Saccharomyces cerevisiae S288C: one gene and its partners. Changing the gene in region 2 together with the main gene of any one other region gives a genetic interaction. Each region holds a gene or a part of one and is shown on either strand. Other genes may lie near its edges.

The links. A genetic interaction does not mean that the proteins touch.
Region 1: mutations in EMI1 (region 2) and MTC3 together harm fitness more than expected from each alone (negative genetic interaction), as found in Saccharomyces cerevisiae (2 studies listed by BioGRID).
Region 3: mutations in EMI1 (region 2) and PSR1 together harm fitness more than expected from each alone (negative genetic interaction), as found in Saccharomyces cerevisiae (2 studies listed by BioGRID).

The regions. Positions count from the first base shown.
Region 1 is NC_001139.9:69,524-77,377, reverse strand, and holds MTC3 (Mtc3p), read right to left. Parts: upstream 4,039-7,854; coding exon 3,667-4,038; downstream 1-3,666. Other genes in the region: VRG4 (GDP-mannose transporter), read right to left, coding at 1-484; OST5 (dolichyl-diphosphooligosaccharide--protein glycotransferase subunit), read left to right, coding at 4,220-4,240, 4,390-4,629; glucose-induced degradation complex subunit VID30, read right to left, coding at 4,831-7,707. UniProt on the Saccharomyces cerevisiae protein: May be involved in telomere capping.
Region 2 is NC_001136.10:1,470,000-1,477,945, forward strand, and holds EMI1 (Emi1p), read right to left. Parts: upstream 1,065-7,946; coding exon 501-1,064; downstream 1-500. Other genes in the region: SDH7 (Sdh7p), read left to right, coding at 18-419; dithiol glutaredoxin GRX2, read left to right, coding at 1,018-1,449; YDR514C (uncharacterized protein), read right to left, coding at 1,549-3,000; SLF1 (Slf1p), read left to right, coding at 3,430-4,773; EMI2 (putative glucokinase), read right to left, coding at 4,975-6,477; GRH1 (Grh1p), read left to right, coding at 7,240-7,946. UniProt on the Saccharomyces cerevisiae protein: Involved in sporulation. Required for the full activation of the early meiotic inducer IME1.
Region 3 is NC_001144.5:125,664-134,374, forward strand, and holds PSR1 (phosphatase), read right to left. Parts: upstream 4,951-8,711; coding exon 3,667-4,950; downstream 1-3,666. Other genes in the region: YEH1 (sterol esterase), read left to right, coding at 1-1,592; rRNA-processing protein SOF1, read left to right, coding at 1,860-3,329; copper metallochaperone COX17, read right to left, coding at 5,542-5,751; DRS1 (putative ATP-dependent RNA helicase), read left to right, coding at 6,066-8,324; LMO1 (Lmo1p), read right to left, coding at 8,639-8,711. UniProt on the Saccharomyces cerevisiae protein: Has phosphatase activity in vitro. Involved in the response to sodium and lithium ion stress (but not to potassium or sorbitol stress) by inducing transcription of the sodium pump ENA1/PMR2.

The DNA.
Region 1 (7,854 bases), on a different chromosome or scaffold from region 2:
CTTGCTGGTCACCCCAAGTTGCAACGACAGAAGAAAGGACCATCAACAAAAATGATGACAATTCCATGGAGGTGACAGAGCCACCAAAAAAGAGAACCTCACCATAAGCAATCAAGATAATAGTCAAATTCTTGAAAATGGTGTAAATTGGAACAGCCAAGTATTGTAAAGCCTTCGAAGAGGTGTAGATCATCAAGACCAGTAAAAAGGAAATAGGGAACCAGTTCTTGGCGTCTGTTTTGTTTAATGAACGGAACTTCGCATAGCCCAGTATACGTAGGATAATCAAGGTTATAGTACAAACCAAAGATTGCACGAAAAGCATGACAAAGTTCATGTTGAAATCCTTCAAATTGACGACGAACTTGTTAGTCACCGTCATTAAAATAGAGGAACCACAGTAGGATAAAATAGAGATCGGACCGGAATTGGCAACTGAAGCCCAAGGGTTATGGCCTGCATGACCTGTTTTCAATTCAGACATTCGGGCGAAAGATACTGTGTGGTTAGTGTGTTTGTTTTCTTAGGCTCTTTTGGTAATTAAGAGGATGTCAACAATTAATCGGCAACAAGAAATAGGCTTGGCAGCGTTATATATATTCTGTTTTTCTGTTCATTGTTTGTTCGGATCGCGAAATTTCAATTTTTTTCTTTCTTTTTTTTTTTTTCGGCCAAAACTATTATCCAAGGCTGGGTAAGAGGATTCTGAAAAACCCGTTTAGCTTTTCGTATATTGCGATTCATTACGCGTTTAGGCGACGTGTCTTCTTTCGTCAACTGTGATATTTTTCGTGTTATGGGCGGCTAATTCTTTATAAAAAGGGAAATTTAATCATTATGGCAAACTCAAATGGTGTTCCTACATCTATATACCACCATGCCACTTTGTACCACCAGTCATATATTTTCTTCTACTCATAAGGGAGCCGCATATATATATGGCGCACATTGCCATGGTCCATTACAAGCTTTTTTCTCGTAGCACTTTAGAATGTCTATTGAGTTGCAATATTCAGGCAAAAATGCGTTCTATCTTCAGAATGTAGCTGTTGAAATTGTTGTTTGACTTTTTTTGGACTAGTAGCCGTCTTATCGAACCAAATAGAAGCATATGTTACCTCATTATTCTCTCAATATGGTATTGGAGCGGGTGTGGGTGTGTTCCTTTTGTTCTTAAACGATAGGTACGCATTAAACACCGCTTATGCAGATGGTACATCATATACTGCTTATACCCTTTCCTACTTCAGATGAATATGCAAAACATGTACCGCAATGATGCGAGAGTAACTTTAACAAGAGCTCTTTCGCGTGTGTAGCGATAATATTCAGGGGCGACAAGTGTAGTAATGAAGATATAGTTCTCACCGGTACCTAGATGTCACTACTCGGACACCAGATTACTGTAGCAAGCAAGGTCAATGTCGAGACTAAGCATGATCATAAGTATTGGCGCCCGACATTGCATTTTTTTCCTTGAGATCATATCACAGTGCATGCCATCACAAATAGTTACTTTGATTATTTCAGTGCCATCGCATGACTTCAGTTTTATTACACCTTTAATGATGTAAAAGCGCCGTCAAGATACTAATATAGACGCACGAGTTTCGTTCGCGCGTCTTGGTGAGATTGAAAAGTTATTTTGCCTTTCTTGTCGAGATGATGGTATTTCCCTTTTTTATTTAACATTCATTAATTCCTACCTGTAGTTATCAACCTTTACAGCAACGCAAGTGAAGTGGCTTACTATATAAGCGTAACTCCAATGTGCTTGGTTAGTTTTGGAAAATTTCAAGGCGTTGTTGCAGAATTGTACCTTTAAACATGTCTACAACAACTATGTGGATGTAGCATCTCTATCATGACGCAAACGCAAACATCTCTCTCTCTCTCTCTCTCTAAGTCGCATGTTAAGGCCGATAGTACTGGTTTAACAGGGTTTGCCAAGGCCTCAATCGTTAAGTTAGCTTCTCCACTTTCCCCAGCATCAATCTTATGGTATGATCAACAATCTACGAGGAATTGCAGAAATGATACCTGTATCACAAAGGAATTTGCGTATCATAGCGTCAACTGGAACCATGGATGGAGCTGAGAATTTATTCCTCATAAACGAATTCAAGTTTCTTTCGCTCTGCCAACACAAAAATTTCAATTTCTGTCCTACTTATGTCCTATGAGAGCCATAATTTACACCTCACGTACATAGTTGCGGTAATATGATAAGTACACTTTTTCTGTGCTTCATTATCGTAGCGATAGGTATACCACTCATCGTAAGTGTGGACGTAGCGATGGAGGTTTCTGTGCCATTACCACCACAACCATTCTACTCTTGTAGTGATGCCGCCAACGTGGAATTATGTGGTATCGTTGTTATCTGCCGTTGACTACCCTCGGTCCAACCAACGTAAAGGCCAATCTCACTTTCTAAGAAGGTCTTATCAGGGTTGATACGGACAAACTCTTCATAGCCTACGTCGAAATCAAATTCTGCTGAAGCTGTGATTGTAATCAAACCTAAAATGGTAATTACTGCTCGAAAAAAAAGTAGAGAAATTCATGGTTGACGCTCAAGTTCAGGGATCTGAGAAAATCTTTTATTCGTACGTCCCATGTGCTCGGTCATACTATGGCTGCTATATATACAACATGGTTGTGGAGAATTTACGCAGGATGTGCCTACTACCTTGGGAGCTACTAATGTCGTATATTTCAAGTGTCTGCATGAAGACTGCATTATAGTCCCTTCAGAGTTTTCTTTGATCGTTTACAATGATCATGGTGAAAGGATTATTTCTGTTATAGCTGGCACACGACAGTCACCTATATGGTAGTTACTAACTAAATATTGCTCAAAGTCAATTCCCAACAATGGGAAGCATGCTGCGATTTTAACAAAGAAGCAGCAGTACCCAGATACGGAACTGGATTAGACAGAGGAGGAAAATCATAAGGTACACAAAATTTTTTGGGCTTTAATTTCTCAAAATGTTTGCCGGTAAACCTGTACATTCTTTTTTCACCATCAGTCTATCTTGTAATTAAGTCTTTCATGTAGTATTGAATCTGCAATATTTTTTAACCAACTATCAATTTTCGTGTCAACAAATTACTCTTTACCATGTAGACAGCTACTGATTCAGGCGCACATGAAGACCTATTCGCTTATTTAACAAATATTAGCGTATTTTTTGAGACTATTAACGTGTGTAGACCTCCAGAGGCTGCACTCTAAAAGCCCCCAGGGATATGTCTATACTGTCCTTTGAGAGTTATACGTATGAAAAATAGTAAGGAGACGTCTCTAAGCGTATTTAGAATATACGCTAAGAGTGACTAATGTAGGTAAGTGCGCAGTAATGGCTGGTAAACTTTTTTTTATACTAGTGCCATGTTGTACTGAACTTCAATTTTACAACTAAACTATGAAGCAAGTATCTTATCTTGGGGTTGTATATTTCAATTAAGTGGTTTCGTGGTCTAGTCGGTTATGGCATCTGCTTAACACGCAGAACGTCCCCAGTTCGATCCTGGGCGAAATCATTATTTTTTTGAATTTTTATATTAGTTTATTTACAGGGATAGATAATGAATGATAAAAAATGAATAGAACGTACTCTGCGCAAGCGCATATATATATATACTATTGTTGCTTCCAATTTATACAAGATCCCTTAATTGTTCCTCTAGCTTTTTATCTTGTTTCCAATTATAAAATGCAGTCGCTGCACCGCCAAATAAAACAAGGTTGAACACTATCCGCATTCCCGTGTACCCTACGTTCCATTCGTTGCCCTTGGATCTGCCACCACAGGGTCCATAAGATAAGAAATACGCTGCTTTGGTCTCCTCCAGCGGTATATGTCTCCAATCTTCTTGCATCCTCCATCGTAAGTATTCCTTGATTTCATCCCTAACTTCAGGTCGTAGAGTGGGCCATAACTTCGTTATATTCGTAATCTCTACTACCGGTGGCTGATAAGTGCTGAAAGATCTTTTCAGTGCTAGCCGAATACCGTTTCGTCCCATCATCTTCTGCCTTATTTCTACCTATGTTGAAATGATATCTTTTGGGTGGTCTTCTCTTTTCTTTGACGCGAAATTTGAAATTGCAAATACTTTTCGAAGAAGGATGCAAGTACACATAAAACGTATACTGTAAATAGGCAAAACATAAGCAGTGAGAGATATCCCTGCATATTCAAGGTTTACAATGACTTATGAACAATTATACGTACGTTGCCTGTAACGCTGGTTGATGCTATTCTTTTGATGTTTTTAACAACACACAGGACAATGAATAGTTCCCTTCCTGTTTTCTAATTCATAATTACTAACAAGTATAGCCAATTCGCCTTCTCGGCATTTGTGTAATCACTTAAGAAAGAGTTCCATTCCTCAAAGAGCTTCCAGCCATTTATCCACTTAGACACTCAACCAAAATTTGCAATTTGTGGTTTAATCGTTACATTAGCTGTATTATCATCTGCCCTGTTCGCCGTCGGTTCTAAATCTTCATACATTAAGAAACTCTTCTTCTACACAATTTTAAGTGTAATTGGCAGCTTGTTTGCTGGCTTGACCACTGTTTTTGCTTCGAATTCTTTCGGTGTCTACGTCTAGTGGCTCTTCGTTGGCCTATAAAGGAATTATCGATGAAATTATATACTATACTTAAGAAGTATTTTGGATGAGAATATTAAAAAGAAAGGTGTCAAGTAAATTTCATTATATAAACGGTTTAAGACATATTAATATGCGATTTTTGGGAAGATAATGACTGATATCACATGGCTTTGTTGTTTGAAGGTGCTTGTTTTATGCTCATAAATTCAACACATCTTCGTCGAAGTTAATAGCTTTGTAATATCTTGGATCTGAAGAGTTGGTTGAACCGAACGCGTTATACTCAAGTAATGTAGAAAGCATAGCTCTAGTGTTTGATATTACATTCTCTAATGCGCATTCGCTATCCTTATGTAAAAATGTTAGTATTGTGTTGTTACTAACTTGAAATAATCTCTCTTGTAAGTATTCGTCACTCAAATATCCTGATATCTCCTTTGGTGCCTCCACAAGTGGATTGGAATATGCTAACAATGCAGAGACATTACTCAATTGTCCACTAAACCTATCCCTCAAAGATTGTGGAATTTTAGTATCGTAGATAAATTCATTAGATAATTCTTGACCCTTCAAAATTAAATTTTCAATTTCGTCATCATCTTTGGATGAACTCTTTTTAATCATCACCAGATAATTCGCTAGTTTTAACTCAAATACCAATTCTAGATTATTTTTTAACAGATCTGGAATTTCGTTATCGATATAATTGATGCATTTGCTAATTTGACCTTTGTTTATCAAGTATCTTAATTCTTGCCTTATCTTTACCATACGTTCTTCTTTCATGATCTGTCTTTCATTGTGCCTGATAACATCTTTACTTTCAGAATGTTGCCCATTGACATTAACCGCATCTTTTTGCAAATCTTTCAAAAACCCCTTTGCAACATCCACCAATCCTTCGTGGATCAAATAATCATTTATCATCACGTTTAATGTATTAGGCAATGAACCGTCATCCACGCTTAAGTTGTTAATATTGTTCACGTCTGGTCTAACTAGCTTTCCATCTATAAACCTATTATCTTCTCCCAAAAGAAACTTCAGATTGTTGTCCTTCTCATCGTTAAGCTTCTTTGTATCCTTATTACCAGCGGCACCATCCTCTTGATCAATATCCATCAAATCTTCATTAACGTTTGTTGATTTATTTTCTTCAGGCCCATTTTCAGTTTCATCTTCCTCACTTTCATCAGAGTCGAATTCTTCAATTGAAACGTCCATTTGGCGTCCACGACAAATATGCTCATACGCCAAACTCTTCCATTTATCTTGATATCCAATAATGTCAAATACAAAATCCTCATTTAACCCAAAATTTGTTTTGATAGAATTCCCAGGTCGTAAGGCCACATATGGGACGAATTCTAGATCATTCAAGTCGGTGAATGCGTTACCTAAATGGATACCATTCTTCGTGAAAAAAATTGAGCCATCGATAAAATTTATGCCACAACCAATAACGTCATCCCTACCAAAAGGCTTAGCATATTCCTTAGATTGTTCTGTAGAATTAGTTATCAAACCGTCAAATCCGCAATAGCCAAATACATTAAGATCAAATCCGTATTTCTGACACTTATTTATGGAACCATCCACGTTAAGAGACATGGCTGAAACGCCCCCTTCATAAATATAATCACGCCTTTGAGTACCTTCCATAGTGAAAGAAGTAGAAGGTACTCTATTGGAACTCATGTTATTACTACCACCTAAGCTACTACTAGAACCGGCCACGCTTGAACGAGAAACACTCTTTTTTGTAGTCGCTTCCATTAATTCATTCTCTACTAACTTGTATCCGATAACAATGTTACTATTTTCAGCACTCTCTGTACTCGTTACACTGAGAACTTTAATCTCGTAATAGAATATAGTTAACTTATTGTCTGGCAATGACTTATTTGCCCAAGTGACTGCAAAGTCCACTTTCCCAGAGTTCTCAAAAGAGGTTCTCAGTCTATTTCTGGTAGAGGCAGAAGAAGCGCTTGATCTTTCATAAGTCATGTATGAGTGATAATCAGGATTAGGTTGTAAATGAGTAATACCATCTTGAGATAGCTGCAAGCTGTTATTTGGTTGAGCTTGCCATCTAGAAGGTAAAAAGTACCCAAGTATTTTGTAAATATCAGGGATCATTGAGTTTTTCTTTTTGCTACCACTGTTGGACAAAACATTTGTTGCCTCATTGTCATTTTTGTCGTTACCAGACGATACTCTAGGAGAAGAAAAGGAAGAACTTGGAGACTGATCAGGGGGGTAGTATTGTAGACCACTGTTCTTGTCAGATGTATCCCACAAATTCCTTGATTCTGTTTCTATATTAATAGCTGATCTAGATCTTTGATATATCCATGGGTCCGCAACCCTTTCGGCACGCTGCTGTGCACTGGACACATCAGCATCAGCTCCTCTACTTCCTTCTTCTCCACCTTCCTCGTGATTGTCAGAGCCATCTCCTTCGTTGTTATCGTCCGTGTCAGTATCCACTTCCCCTTCTAAGCTTTCCAGATCGGATTCATCGTCGTCGTCGTCATCGTCATCGTCATCATCGTCATCATCATCATCGTCATCATCATCGTCATTTCTGTCATTTTCCAGGCTGGTATTAGAGTTAAGCGCCATTTCACGTTCGGATAAAACGGGTTCTAATAGTTCCTGAGCATTTTTCCTCATGTCTGAGGAAGCTTTCATAACTCGCACTGAATTTTTATTTGAATCTTTAACACCAAATCTCAAAGTAAAATCATTAACGTCTGGATAGAAATATTTATAGACTTGAATCAGGTAATCGTCGTTGACAGCTTCAAACGAAATTGTGCCTAGAACACCCAAATTCATCAATTTAGACCAGATTTCTTTCCTTGTTAAAGCAGTTAACTTTGTCCTGCCCATTCCAACGCCAGTGGGATTTTCATCAGCGTTGATTAAGTTAGTGTTCTTCAGTTTGTGAAAGAGTTTTCTATGTTGCAAATATAAAATCCATAAATCATAAGCCACAGGCTGTTGCAGCAAGTAGCTCGGGAACAAACAGTTAATGAATTCGCGGTCTACGTCATCCATATATTCAGACATTTCCTCTTAATTATGCTGAAATTCGACGCTTGGCTTTAACGTACTACTAATATTTCTGCTATAACAGTAACAGTTCTGGTCCAATCCTTTGGCTCTTTCTTTTGGTTGATCGATTCATCAGTTCCCTCCCCTGAAAGGCTCGCGCGT
Region 2 (7,946 bases):
TCCCGTCTTCATTCACCATGAACAACAAGCTCATATATCGTTCGGTTAGATTTGCAACCCATAACAGCCAGCTTTTACTTCCACCTTTGGTTCTCTACAGAAGGATACTAAGGCAGCATAAGCTGCTACCTGGTCCCCAAAGGGAGATGGGTGACCAATACGTGCGAAACGAGTTCAAGTTGCACAAAGATATCGATAACCCGTTGCATATAGTCGGCTTTTTAGCTTCCTGGCAAGATTATCTCCACATGATTTCCAACGGTAAATGGAAAGATGCCACTTTATCTTCGGAAACCCTGGAGAAACTATCCCCTGAGCAAACAGTTCAACTGTATGAATTGATGAAGGAAACACAGAAACTTCACCAAGACAATGAAATAGAATCAAGTAAGGACGTGAAGCGGAACAACAAGGATTAGTGTTCGTCTTTTTATTGCGCTTGTAAATAAGAAATCCATATACTATATAGTACACATGCTAAAAAAAAAAAGCTAAAAATCTCACTTATTTGCAGTGGTCTCCCTCTCCTGCCATATAACCCCACTGGTATTTTCCAATGCCTTATTGTTGGAAACCTGATCTTTATACCATTCCTGCACTTTCACAGGGTCATTGCCGTGGATAATACAAAACTTGAATTTGGACACCTGCTTGTCACATGATGTAAAATCTCCATATCTGTAATAGCTTCTAAATTGCCCTCCAATCGAATAGCAACTCGTCAGTTGATCAAATGCCTCTCGGCAACTCATCGTTGTCGGATATTTTGTACTCATCCTTTCCTGTTTCTTCCTCAAGCTGCTCTCTTTTACCCTAATAGAACCATCGCCTCCCTCTTGATTTATGCTAATACCACATCCAATAGCAGAACTATTACTAAGATCCGATATTTCGGCCCCCTTCGCAAAGGGGCCCGCCGCACTTTCTTCATGAATTTTCATATAAAAAGTCCCAGGACGCCAAGAAAAGGTGCCCTCTTGATTAACGGACACTCCAACTACTGTTATATATTGTTTCATGGAGACCAATTTTTCCTTCGACTCGAATTTAATTGTTATTATCATTATCACGTTGTTTGCCACAAGAATTATTGCTAAAAGATTTTTATCTACTCCAAAAATGGTATCCCAGGAAACAGTTGCTCACGTAAAGGATCTGATTGGCCAAAAGGAAGTGTTTGTTGCAGCAAAGACATACTGCCCTTACTGTAAAGCTACTTTGTCTACCCTCTTCCAAGAATTGAACGTTCCCAAATCCAAGGCCCTTGTGTTGGAATTAGATGAAATGAGCAATGGCTCAGAGATTCAAGACGCTTTAGAAGAAATCTCGGGCCAAAAAACTGTACCTAACGTATACATCAATGGCAAGCACATTGGTGGTAACAGCGATTTGGAAACTTTGAAGAAAAATGGCAAGTTAGCTGAAATATTGAAGCCGGTATTTCAATAGTTTAAATTACGCTAATATCCCCTTCATAATATTTACATATATATATCTTTTATTATCTATATCTTAAATCACATATACCTACAAAACTTCTAGCTAGATTCACACAAGAGTACTTTTGAAGGCTGCGCGTGCATTTTGAAACCAATGAGACCCGCTAAATTCCGTCTGAGGTACAAGATCCCTCGGCTTCTTTCTTCCCTTATCATCAACTTTCGGTTTGCTATTATTGGCATTCATCACACTTAGCACGTACGACATTGGCAAAATTTTGGGTTCGTCCGCCTCACGCTTAAACCATTCTCTTATCCTATATCCCATTGTTTCTAAATCATCTGCCCCAATTTGCTTTCTAAAGTTATAATCTCCTAACTTCAGCATCAGGAGCAACGTGTAATATGCATCATTGCCTGCGTTATGTAAGAAGGCATGTGGCAAGTGAAAAAGCCTTAGTAGTTTACCTAAACTGCTACCCTTCTTGCCATAACACATGCTATAAATTTTCTCTGTGTCAAGCATCTTAACATGTTTTCTAACACCTTTGCTCTCCGTTGAGTCCTCCGGTTTGGTAAGTTCATTATCCAATTCAGGTACATGGACCCCAATTTTCTTCAGCCACTTAATATCCCCCGCTATAGCATGACCCACAAACGCTCTTTCCCAGGTTGTATCTTGGTCCGTCTCACATTTCATATAGAAATTAATCAACGACTGAATGAACTCTACACATTGTTCCAATGGTAATACAAGACTTTCTCCAAGTAAAAAGCAGTCTTTAAAGTCGCATACGAATTTCTTGTTTCTTAACGGTAACGCTTCAGCAACAATTAAATGATAACTTCTTATAATCGGCATCAAGGAATAAATGTTTTCTCTTGGATCATATATGGCGATGCCAATCTCTGTAACAATGTCTGTATCAAATTCAAATGCCTCTACATCGATGGCAAAACAAATTGTCTTGTTGGATGATAATAACTCAATAGTTTTACAGAGATACTTGAACTGAGACCCACCAGGTTCACAATTCATCACAGGTATATGTTCGTTTTTTACGTCCTGTACATCTGCTAAATATTGCTTTCTTAGATTTTTCTCCACATCGTCTTTAGATGCATCAGGTATACACCCGTTTTTCTCTATCCATTTCTTGTCAATTTCTTCCAGCTTCTTATCCAGTAATTCTGAACTTTTCTCATAGATGGACCGATAGTTTGTTTCCAATGCCTTTAAATATTTTTGGATTTCACTACTTAACGCAATGTTAGGGGTATATGCAATTTCGTGCAGAGAATTAAAATGTTCAAACTCATTTATCCATGTCTTTTGTCTTCCTAGTTTATTCATCAACTTGCTACTTGAACTCTTATACAGTCCCACGCCCCCTCTTCTTGAAGGGACCATACCCCTAACTCTAGCTGCATTGCGGGTTGCCAGACTCCTGTTTAAACCTTGTGGTTGATGGTAATTGCGGACTGCTTTGGAGTTGAATCTATGCGTAACCATTTTGACTACCGCTTCGTATGCTTTCTTGCACTTTGTGGAGCTACTCATACAATAGCTTATAATCTGTGTAGTCAAACTATATACTAGGCAAATTACTAGTAAATGCAGTATTCATATGTCCTCAAACCGTTTTTTGCAGTATGTTATTGATCCATCGAATCAAAATTTTTCACCGCCAAGAGAAAAAAGATCTTACTATTTTGTGCTTATGAAAAAATTAGTAAAAGTAAAGCTGGAAGCACATACAAGCGCAGCTGAATCACAAAGGAAAATTGGCACATCCTTGGTTGACACTTGTCTATTTATTAAAAGGTTTTAAAAAGTAGTGTTCAGCAGTTCTATCATATTTTTTTATTTAAAAAAAAATACTGAGAGGAAGCGTATTGTTAAGACACAATTTAGGGTGGCGTTAAATAAACGAGAGAGCCCAAAAATATAACCAAGATAAAGAAAATCAATCATAAAGTGAATTCAAAAATGTCATCGCAAAACCTCAATGATAATCCAAAAAATACATCCTCAGCAGCTGAAGATAAGAAGAAACAAACTTCATCCTTAAAGTTGGCACCAATACCAACCACATCGCCATGGAAATCATCTTCGCCAGATAGCAATACAGTAATTCCTGTAGAGGAACTAAGAGATATATCAAAGACTGCAAAGCCAAGTAAAAATGGTTCGGGGTCAATTAAATTAACAAGCAATACCAAATGGACTCCAATTACGCCGTCTGTTATAATCTCAGGTTCCAAGGACACAAATTCAAAGTCAGGAAAGAACTCTAAAAATTCTAAGACTAATAAAAAAATGAAAAAGCGTGGCAAATATAATAACGATATCAATAAAAAGGACTTTAACGGTCAAACCAACAGTACATCGGAAATAAGTAACGTTTCCAATCTTGAATCCAAACCTTTAGATGCTAACGCTAAAGTAAACATACATTCAAGCTCAGGAGCAACTGCCAATGGGAATATAAAGAGGATAACAAACAACAACAATTCAACCAACGGTAGACAATCAAGAAATTATCAAAACAGGAATGGCAAAACAAGATACAACAACAATAGTAGACACAGTCAGGCGGCTAATAATGCCATCTCCTTCCCAAATAATTATCAGGCTAGACCTGAATATATTCCCAATGCCAGCCACTGGTTGAACAACAATTCAAGAAATAGCTATAAACAACTGTCATACTTCCGTCAACAGCAGTATTATAATAACATCAACTATCAACAACAATTGCAAACACCATATTATTACTCAATGGAACCTATTTTTAAATCTATCGAAAGTATCAAAAACCAAATTGAATTCTATTTTAGTGAAGAGAACTTGAAAACAGATGAATTTTTAAGATCTAAATTCAAAAAAGCCAATGACGGATTTATCCCCATGAGTTTGATAGGGAAATTTTACCGTATGGTTAATTTATCTCTTGGTGGAGACCCAAATTTAATTTTGGCATCTATGAGAGAAGTTTTACAACATAAAGAAACAAACCATTTGGAAATTGCCCTTGGAAGCATAGAAGGTGCTCAGAAGAACATGGCAGATGATTTCAATCCATTGGAAAACTATTTTATTAGGCGCGAAAATTGGGCTGAATACGCTATGGAAAGTAATTTTGATGAAAATGATGACGAAACTGAAAAATACAACATTGAGAAACTATTGGGACCGAACGATTTAGACAATTATTCTTATATGGGCTATCCAAACTTCTTTCCCAGTAATGAAAATGGGAAAAAGAGTCAGAGCTATGACCAAGGTGAAATTAGCAGGCAGTTTGAACAAAACTTACAAATAAATGATTAATTTTAGACAATATTTTTTTTTTTTTTTTTATTATGTATATAGTTAACATGTATAAAGTAATAGCAGATTCTCTCTAAAAATATAACATAACATTTCATTTCAATTCGTACTAAATAATTTTTTATATAACAGATACATAAGATATTTATATAGAGGAAAACGAAAACAAACTAAAAATAAGCTGTTAAGAACAGATATGTTTTATGCCACCAGAGCACACAAAGCTGCGCCAACACCGGACCCATCTTTGGCTAGACGCAAATGTATCTTACGTTCACCCTCAGTGCCAATTGGACTTAATGCCAAAGCATGTCTCAGCATGGATCTGAATCCAGGATAGTATTCGATGACATAACCGTCAAAACCAATTTCTACCTCACCGTGATATCTTTTGTTCAAAGCGTTTGTCTTGATTAGGATGGCGGCAATCGGAACGGCTGCTAGATATGCAGACCTTCTCGTAATGGAACGGACCAGATTTTGAATTGCTTTACGTTCTTCAAAAGTGGTCGGTAGCCTCAAACTCTGCAAAAACGACAATTCAGTTTCACGCAAGTTTGTCGAATCATCGATTTCAATCCTGGAAAGAACTTCACTGCACAATTGGAAAGGAGTCTTTAAACGGTGAGGTAATTGATCGTAATTACGATACTGTCCCAAGATTAAGCCCCTTGCATGCAAGTCCACCAGGATGTTCCTTAACAGCTCACCCAAGTACATGCCGGAAATTCTTTTTTCAAATAGATGGTAACCTGGATTTGGAGAAAATTTTTGGTCAATATCGATGTCATACTTTGTAGCAGACAAATGTTTCAATTCATTGTCGAAAGAACCCCATTCGATGTTGATGCACATTTGGGTTTTTCCTTCATGCAGCAGTCTTGTTCTGAGCTCATCTGGTAGCTTCTTGATGTTTTCAATATCCTCCATATAGCAACCGTTAGTACCAGTACCAAAGATACAACCAATGACAGGCTCGCTAATCTCACCAGCACTCGATGGACGAGAGCCTGAAGTGTAGCAGTGGGATAGGAAAGTGCCAACCGTGTCGTTGGTCAAAGCTACCACATTAATCATAGAGAGCCCCTGAATGTCTAATTGCTCCTGGTATAACCTCACGACATCCTTGCCGACCGTGTCTTCAATCTTGAAGCTTTTGGTCCATCTGATTAAAGTACCGGAACTCAAAGAGGTTTGGTCAACGGGATATGAGAAGGTAAATCCCATTTTCAAAGGTTTTATGTTCTCCCCCGTGGACTTCAACAACTCAGGATGATGCTTCCTAACGAAGGCCCTTGTACGGCGACCCAGGTAGCTAAACAGCTCCTCGCTGGTGACATCCTTGTCATTTAGATATTCTTCCGGAATCTTAGACTTCAATTGCTGCATATCAAAGGTTCCGTCACCATTCAAAGTCACAGAACACACTCTGAAGTGAGTCCCACCTAAATCTGCAGCCAGCAAAACACCACGTTCCGTCCCATTGGGCAAACTGGTTACATATGTAGGGATCATGGGTAGACCCTTGTCCACCGTCTTTTCTTCGCCTACAGAGGTGTTATTCAACCCCTTTTCCATACATTCAATGAAGTACGCTGTTAGTTCGTCCAACTTTGCTGCATCAACCTGCAATGAGGAGCAGATCTCAACCACTGCATCTTCCAATGCCTCAGCATTGACTTTATGTAAATTTTCAAATGACATTACTGTGTATCTATGATTCGATTCTTGTACAATTCTTCCTTGATACACTGATATCTGTTTCTATTTAAACTTCCTATAAGTATGAGACGTACAAAAGAACACGAGACAAGATGAGATTTTACACTTACACAGAATCGACTTTATATAATCCCGAATACATGTTTCCCCCCCCTGCATCGCAAGCATAATAGAATTCGACGACCCGATCTTCTTCCTCTGTCTTCCACACACACAAACACTAATTCACTCTCACTCTCTCACTTTCCCTTTCGACGACACACACAAAAAGACTTTCTGGATGCCCCGCGTTTTTTGTCACTTGATTCTTCGAACAAAGACGCAGGCAACTACCCCTGAAGGGCCCACCCGAAAGTAGTTGCTACTGCTCGTTGCGGTGGCTGCCAGAGTGGCGACGTAGCGTTGCGTTGTGGCTAACATTGGTGAGACAACCCGATTAAATTACTTAATGGGCTCTCCCACCGCCTTTGCACCCAGTGACAGCCATTTTGAAGATAGCATCGGGCTGGCTTCCAAATAAAATCTAGGTCGTTTCTATTAAGTTCGTTTCGTTATTTTTCTGTCTTCGCGGCGGACACGCAAGCCGACGACGACGAGGTTTAGTTGCATTTTGGCTATCATAAAAGAAATGGGCTTGTCGCAACGGGATCAGGACCAAGAACAGGGGTGCTGAGACTACTACTGTAACTGCGACCGACACAGCGTGCGAAACTAGGGAAGTAAAAAGGTATAGGAAGAAGAACTATGTTTAGAATAGCTAAAAACCTCGTACGGACTTTTGAGCAGAGCGTGCAAGATACCCTGGCACTCTCGCAGGACTCGAGCAATCTGGACGCTTTCTTTCAGTCTATACCACCAAATTTGTTGTCTGCTCAGTTGGAATCACCCGTAGATGCGGTTTCTGAAGGTGTTAAGCACACCAACGTCAATGAAACGCTTTCCGGTCTCCGCATTGTTTGGGTGGACGAGATGCAGTTCCAACTGCAGTCCTTTTTCGACTATATAGTAGGTTTCAATGATGATCCGGTGCCGGTGGTCAGTAATCAACACGGATTTTCGTACCCAGATTACCGTCGTATCACATCCATCTTCAATGAACACTGTGGCCGAACTTTGAAGGTCAACATATGGTCAGCTAAAGGAGGCACGTTCAGAGACGAGTATATCAGCATTATATCGAAGGAGAGCGACGATTTGGACGATGTTTCTCTAAACCATGACGAGAGGAGGCCATCTAGTGGGGAAGCGCACCAGTTCCAAGCACTCGGGTTCAAAGTCCAATGGACGCCTTTGATAGCTTCCACTTTCACATACCATATCCTGAACGTGAACATCCCAGATGGACCCGCCCAATCGGCAGGGCTCATCCCAGATGAAGACTACATTATCGGCTGCCAAGATGGCCTGTTGGCCACGGGAGGGGAGACGCTTTTACAAGATATTGTTAGATC
Region 3 (8,711 bases), on a different chromosome or scaffold from region 2:
GTTCATCGACCCAAATCGAAGTTGATGACGAAAGTAAAAGAAACGTACACCATGACCATGTTCTCACTAGAACCAATGCATACGCGACGCCATACCTCGATCTGGAACATGACAAGAAAAACGGTATCGTCTACGATCATACAAGAACGGTTGTCCGTAAAAAGAACCACGAAGTGGGGTCCTCGTCACTGCATAAAAACCTTTTTCACAAATTTTTGACAAAGCTTATTTTTAGGTTTATCGAGAAGGAAAAAGTTACCGAAGGCGTAACGCAAGGAAAGTTCAATAATAGTAGCAATGAAATTGCCAATCATGAACCGGTTTTTGAAAAAATTCCTGTACAGTGCGACAATCCATTACAGAATCTAATCTTATCGGAAGACTTGACATTAGTTGCGGATCTTAATTATTATTTTAACCAGTACAATATTCAAATAGAGGAATTTAGATTGGAGACCGAAGATGGGTTTGTTATAGATTTGTGGCACTTGATACCAAAATATAGAACGACAGATTCTGACAAGAAGAAGAGGCCACCCATTTTGATGCTACATGGCCTTTTGCAAAGCAGTGGTTCGTTCGCATCCAATGGTAGAAAATCTCTGGCATATTTTCTGTATCAATCCGGTTACGACATATGGTTAGGGAATAACAGATGCGGGTTTAGGCCGGAATGGAACGAAGCGAAAGTACCGACACTAGCTTCCAGGTGGGACTGGGACCTTCGCGAGATGGTTAAGTACGATCTGACCCTTTTGATTGATACCGTGTTAGCTAAGACGCAGTTTGAAAAGCTTACTTTGATCTCGCATTCTCAGGGCACTACACAGGGGTTTATGGGCTTGGTCAACGAAGATAAGTTTTTCCCTCCCGGTTCGGGATCTAAAGAATCTTTTTTCACTTCTAAGATCGCAAACTATATTGCCTTGGCCCCCGCAGTGTATCCTGGTCCCTTACTTAACGAGAAATTGTTTGTTAAGCTTATGACAAAGGAAATCGAAAATCCCTGGTTCTTTGGTGAAACGAGCTTTTTTGAGATAATGATGATTGTAAGAAACTTGTGCGTTGGTGAGAGCTTGTTCTCCTTTGTTTGTTACACCATCTTCAATTACCTGTTTGATTGGAACGATACCCTTTGGGATACCGCATTAAGAGATCGCCATTTCCTGTTTTCGCCAGTCCATGTTTCAGTGAAGTTGATGCAATGGTGGCTGTCACCCGACCCCAACAAGGTAAGTTTTAAATTTGGTTCCCATAAGATGTTCCCCGACAATGTTAAGTGGTTTTCAGACGCATCAAAGGCCCCAAATATCTACTTGTTTGTTCCAAAGCAAGATAGATTGGTGGACGGAGAAAGACTAATCAATCATTTCGTCAATGTGGAGTCGAATGTCAACTACAAGATCTGGTACATTGATGAGTATGCCCATATTGATGTCCTATGGGCACATGATGTCATAGAGAGAATTGGTAAACCAATTTTACAGAATTTGAACAACTATTACTCCAAGAAGCCATCCAGCGCCTTTGAAAGTGATTGTTCGGACACAGAGGTGGAAACGGAGCTGGAAATGGTTGCTGAGAAGGCTTGAAGAGGAAGCATGATATATAGGTTAATATAAATTATACTTGGGAATACATAGATAGAGGGCTAGTAAATTTTTAGTTTTTAATTGTTCTTTTTTTTTGAAGTATTGTGTCACAAATTGTCGGGAGTTGGGACATCACCGTGCATAACGATACATTTTTTTGAAAAATTTGATATTGAAAAAAAATCGATGAGTTTGAATTACATTACAGTTGTATAAAGCAACCGCATTTCATTAACGTAGTTTGACTCGCGAAGATAAGGCGTTAAAATGAAGATTAAGACCATTAAAAGAAGTGCTGATGACTATGTCCCTGTTAAAAGTACGCAGGAATCTCAAATGCCCAGGAATTTGAACCCTGAATTGCATCCTTTTGAAAGGGCACGTGAATATACTAAAGCTTTGAATGCCACCAAATTGGAAAGAATGTTTGCTAAACCCTTTGTGGGTCAGTTAGGATACGGTCATAGAGATGGTGTTTATGCTATTGCCAAAAATTATGGTAGTCTGAATAAATTGGCTACTGGTTCTGCAGATGGTGTGATTAAATACTGGAACATGTCTACTAGAGAAGAATTTGTTTCCTTTAAGGCGCATTATGGACTCGTTACTGGTCTTTGTGTGACACAGCCTCGTTTTCATGACAAGAAGCCAGATTTGAAGAGCCAAAATTTTATGTTATCTTGCAGTGATGACAAAACTGTCAAGCTATGGTCAATAAATGTTGATGATTACTCCAATAAAAACTCCAGTGATAACGACTCCGTTACTAACGAGGAAGGTTTGATTCGTACTTTTGACGGTGAATCTGCATTTCAAGGTATCGATTCGCACAGAGAAAACTCCACGTTTGCCACAGGTGGGGCCAAGATCCATCTTTGGGACGTTAACAGATTGAAGCCAGTTTCCGATCTATCATGGGGAGCAGACAACATTACTAGTTTAAAATTCAATCAAAATGAAACAGATATCTTGGCCAGTACTGGTAGTGATAATTCTATTGTTCTTTACGACTTGAGAACCAACTCCCCCACACAAAAGATTGTTCAAACAATGAGGACGAATGCTATTTGCTGGAATCCAATGGAGGCCTTCAACTTTGTAACTGCCAATGAAGATCATAACGCCTACTATTATGATATGAGGAATTTATCACGTTCATTGAATGTATTCAAAGATCACGTCAGCGCAGTAATGGATGTTGACTTTTCTCCTACGGGGGATGAGATTGTTACTGGTTCGTACGATAAGAGTATCAGAATATATAAGACGAATCACGGACATTCGAGAGAAATTTATCATACGAAGAGAATGCAGCATGTTTTCCAGGTTAAATATTCCATGGATTCTAAATATATTATCAGTGGATCTGATGATGGGAATGTTAGGCTATGGAGAAGTAAAGCTTGGGAGAGGTCTAATGTCAAAACTACTCGTGAAAAGAATAAATTAGAATATGACGAAAAATTAAAAGAAAGATTTAGACATATGCCGGAGATCAAAAGAATCAGTAGACATAGACACGTGCCACAAGTCATCAAAAAGGCTCAGGAAATTAAGAACATTGAGTTGAGTTCTATTAAGAGAAGAGAAGCTAATGAAAGGCGTACTAGAAAGGATATGCCATACATTTCCGAAAGGAAGAAACAAATCGTTGGTACCGTGCACAAATATGAAGATTCAGGAAGAGATAGGAAAAGAAGAAAGGAAGATGACAAACGTGATACTCAAGAAAAGTAGTTATTCTGTTTTATGTTGTCTGTATATACACATATGTACAATATTTGCATTTTTTTAATTTTTAATTCACATGTATTTGATAAATGTTCACGCCAGTCCCGTTAAATTAAAATTACCATTTTATTAGATTATGAATTTATATATGAATACATTGTGTCGTAATGGTAGAAGAAGTTGAAAAAAAAAATGTCAAGGGACAGCATGGGTACAGTGTGTTGAGCCAAAAAAAAAAAGAAAAAAAAAGAAAAAACTTTTTGTTCTCTGGTTCTTTTCTTCATCTTCTTCATCTTCATTCTTTGGTAGCGGGGGCCACAAGAAATTCGGGCGAAAGTGCTCATTATATTGTTACATCCAAAATTTTGCCCACATCCAGTGAGGTTTTCACAGAAAGGTCTTCTAAAAGAGGAATAATATCTAATAATTCGTTATCATGAGTATCTGAGAACCAGGACGAAATCGGTATTGCATGTTGGGGATGAAAAATATAAGATGCCGGAGAGTTATCGAGAATGATGATATCTGATAACGGCCTTCCAATCTGGGATAAGTTTTTTATATAGTTTCCTTCATAGTTATAGCAAGCCTCTCTGAATAATCTGTGATGAATGACTTTATCTGTGTCTAATATATCAAGCAAAGGATCACCGTATCGAGAGACACTAGCCGTGAAGACTACAACCTCGAATAATTTTCCGACTCTTTCCAAAAATTCTTCCACACCAGGTCTTTTAATGACATAGACATTGTGTACTTGGTCATCTATTTCCACAGACAAAACAAAATCCGCAGATCGTAAGTATTTGAAAGAAGAGTGTACCAAGGTTTCATCCAGGTCCAGTATTAGGCATTTCTTGCCCTTTGTACTTTCATCTTGTGGGGGGAGCAGAGTGTTGTAACCTGGTGCATGATACTGGCCCTGCTGCAAAAGCGTTAGATCAATATATTCTTCATCTTCATCGTCTTCGTCGTCGGCATCGTTGGAAGTTTCACTGGCTTGAGAGCTGCTACTTACCCTACTCAAATTCATATCTTGGATAAGATGGTCAGACGATACTTGTACAGTAGGCCCTCGCTGCTGCGACTGCGACTGCGACTGTGACTGTGACTGTGACTGGGGTTGTGGTTGTGGTTGTGACTGTTGTTGTTGTTGCTGCTGTTGTTTTTTCTGCCTGGAAGTATCTTTCACAGCATCTCCTTTTTCCTGTACAATGCCACGACTGCGACGGTTATCTTCATCGTCGATCTCTTCATCTTCGTCAACCTCGTATTTTTCCTCGTAAAGATCATCTTTACTAATTCGCTTCTCTACTTTTGTCATATTATTAGTAGTAGTGGCGGTGACGGCTGCAGTCGGCGACGATGGCTTCTTTTTTTCATTATCGTTCGTGCTTATCCCAGATTTACCGGTGGATCGTTCAGTGGAACTGAAAGTAGCGGCTGAATTTGTCTTAGAAGGAGGAGAGTTTGTCTGATGTACGCCACGGGTTCGGCTTTTCGTGTTGGAATGTTTAACGCTTCTGTTTTTATTGAGAGAACTGCTCTGTTGTTGGCGATAAGCAGAATTGGAATTGGATTGTGTCGTCTCGGAAGAGCAGCACAGTATTGACGATATGAAACCCATACTGTTTTGCTACTTATTGTTGTTAAAGCTTACGAACACGAATGTAGGCAAATAAAAAGCTTGGATAAACGCACAATGAAAGGGGAAGTGCGATTGATTATGCTATAAGGAATGACACGAAGAGAGCAGACTATAGGCTAGGCAGGCGATAAAGGAAGGAGTTGTACTTGACGACAACGTAATAAAGAGTTCAATGAAAGAGTATTGTGAGCAGTATGGTTCAACGAGCACTTCTTCTCGACACCTATTTCTATACTTTTTCACTTAATATACACTAACTAATCCCAGACTTTTTTTTTTTTCCGTTCTTTCCAGAAAAAAAAGAAACAAAGCAAGCGTGCCCTGACTTAGGGTTTCCTAAAAAAGTTATTAGGTTTGTGTCACGTGATACGTCCTTTTCTGGTCACGTGGTCTTAGAACACTCTTAAGGGGCCAAGCACAAGAGGACAGTGCTAGCAGTAGAAGTGGTGTAGTAGTGATGAGGTAATGTTAATTGTGCATCGCACATATTTACAGGTAGTATATACTATAGTTTGTGAATACCTATTCTTATATATACAAGAAATGGTTGTCGGCAGACTGTCAGTAAGACTAATTTGCACTTGGAACTTCGAAGCCATAACCCTTCATGCACTCTTTGTACTTTTCAATGAATTCCTTGCATTTTTCAGAGTCTTGTCCATTGAATAAGATGCATGTATCCCGCTCCTCCTTTTCTGGCTTACAAACGCAACATGGCTTAGGTTTGTCCTCGCACTCCGCGTGGTTTTCTTGTTCTTGTTTCTTGTCAGTTTCAGTCATTGGGTATAATTGATTGTGTAGTTATCTGATTGTGTACACTAAAATTTTGTTTAGTTGTACTAGAGACAAGTAGTTAGGTGGTTACTAGATTCTGATTCGCCGCTATATATCGTCATTTTATCTTTTTTTGAAGGAGATAGGTAGGGTTATAACATTATCCGGGTAATGATTTGAAAAAAAATTTTCAAAAAATGCGATGAGATGAGGTTGAAAATTGTAAGTTAGAATATGCTTAGATAGTATGAGTATTTACGTTGGTAACTTGGGTTTCGAATTGGAGCTGTGTGCCTACAACAGCGTCTTATATATATACTATGGTGGTAGGAACTAAAAAATACTCTAATTTGGACTTTGTCCCTACAATCAGTGACAGTGAAGACGATGTTCCAATTCTAGATTCTTCTGATGACGAAAAAGTCGAGGCTAAGAAGACTACGAAGAAGCGGAAGGGTAAGAATAACAAGAAAAAGGTTAGTGAGGGGGATAACCTCGATGAGGATGTTCATGAGGACTTGGACGCGGGGTTTAAGTTTGATTTGGACGCCGATGATACCACTTCGAACTTCCAAGGCTGGAACTTTCTAGCAGAGGGCGAGTCCAATAAGGACGATGCCGAAGCTTTTGTGAAGAAGGACGTTGACTTGGATAAGATTATTAGAAGAAAAGGTGGGCTGGTGAAAATGGCCCATATTGATAGTAAACAAGAAGAAGAAACCGAGAAAGAAAAAGTAGAAAAAGAAAACGATAGCGACGATGAGGAATTAGCAATGGACGGGTTCGGTATGGGAGCTCCCATGAACAATGGAGACGAAAATCAGTCAGAAGAAGAAGAAGAAGAGGAGGAAAAGGAAGAGGAAGAGGAGGAAGAGGAGGAACAAGAAGAGATGACGTTAGAAAAAGGCGGCAAAGATGACGAAATAGATGAAGAAGACGATTCTGAAGAGGCAAAAGCCGATTTCTATGCGCCTGAAACTGAGGGAGATGAAGCTAAAAAGCAAATGTACGAAAATTTCAACAGTTTGTCTTTATCTCGTCCGGTTCTTAAGGGCCTTGCAAGTTTGGGTTACGTCAAGCCTTCCCCTATTCAAAGCGCCACAATCCCCATTGCCTTATTGGGTAAAGACATCATTGCCGGTGCTGTGACTGGTTCCGGTAAGACTGCTGCGTTTATGATTCCCATAATCGAGCGTTTGTTGTATAAACCAGCCAAAATCGCTTCCACCAGAGTTATTGTTCTATTGCCCACTCGTGAGTTAGCTATCCAAGTCGCTGACGTTGGTAAACAAATTGCACGTTTCGTCTCCGGTATAACCTTTGGTCTGGCCGTTGGTGGTTTGAACTTGAGACAACAAGAACAAATGTTGAAATCTCGTCCGGACATCGTCATTGCTACCCCAGGTAGATTCATTGATCATATCAGGAACTCAGCAAGTTTTAATGTGGACTCAGTAGAGATTCTGGTTATGGATGAAGCCGATAGAATGTTAGAAGAAGGTTTTCAAGATGAACTGAACGAAATTATGGGCCTATTACCAAGCAATAGACAGAACCTATTGTTTTCTGCTACAATGAACTCCAAAATTAAAAGTTTAGTTAGTCTTTCTCTAAAAAAACCAGTAAGGATTATGATTGATCCTCCAAAGAAAGCTGCTACTAAGTTGACACAAGAATTCGTTCGTATTCGTAAAAGAGACCATTTGAAGCCTGCCTTGTTATTTAATTTGATTAGGAAATTGGATCCAACGGGTCAAAAGAGGATTGTCGTTTTTGTGGCTAGAAAAGAAACTGCTCATAGGTTAAGGATTATCATGGGTCTTTTAGGTATGAGTGTGGGTGAATTACACGGTTCTTTAACCCAAGAACAGCGTTTAGATTCCGTTAATAAATTCAAAAATTTGGAAGTTCCTGTACTTATCTGTACGGATTTGGCCTCCAGAGGTCTTGATATCCCCAAGATTGAGGTTGTTATCAACTACGATATGCCCAAGAGTTATGAGATCTACCTGCATAGAGTTGGTCGTACCGCCAGAGCTGGTAGGGAAGGTCGTTCCGTCACCTTCGTCGGTGAATCATCTCAAGATAGAAGTATTGTACGTGCTGCTATAAAGAGTGTAGAAGAAAATAAGTCCCTAACTCAAGGTAAAGCACTTGGTAGAAACGTAGACTGGGTTCAAATCGAAGAAACAAACAAACTTGTTGAATCCATGAACGATACGATTGAAGATATTCTGGTGGAAGAAAAGGAGGAGAAGGAAATATTAAGGGCTGAAATGCAATTAAGAAAGGGTGAAAATATGTTGAAGCATAAAAAGGAAATCCAGGCAAGACCAAGAAGGACATGGTTCCAAAGCGAATCAGATAAGAAAAATTCCAAAGTATTAGGTGCTTTATCAAGGAACAAGAAAGTCACTAACAGCAAAAAGAGAAAGCGTGAAGAAGCTAAGGCAGATGGCAATGGTGCACGTTCTTATAGAAAAACCAAAACCGACCGTATTGCAGATCAAGAAAGAACTTTTAAAAAGCAGAAGAGTACAAATTCAAATAAGAAGAAGGGCTTCAAAAGCCGTAGGTAATAATTTTCATCGTCATTATCATAAAATATCAACATACTTATCACTGTCATTATATTATTAATACTTTGTATTTAAATATCATTAATTCATCTAATAAACAGGGGATTAGTCAAAAATTCCTTTTTTTTTGTTGAATCTGTAGAAGTGAGTATTAATAAACTGCAAGCTATATGCTATATTAAAAGGATTTTTCAAGTACAAACGAACTGAATGGAGACTCAAGCTACTTGCGGGAAAGAATTACAAAATTACATTCCATTCTAGTAAAAAAAAGTTATAAATAAAAAAAAATCGTCTGACGACAAATTTGTATCTTAATCAAAATAAAAATTTTGGGTTACTTTCTTTAACGTTTCCAAGTTATAAAATTCTTCATCTTCGTCCTCG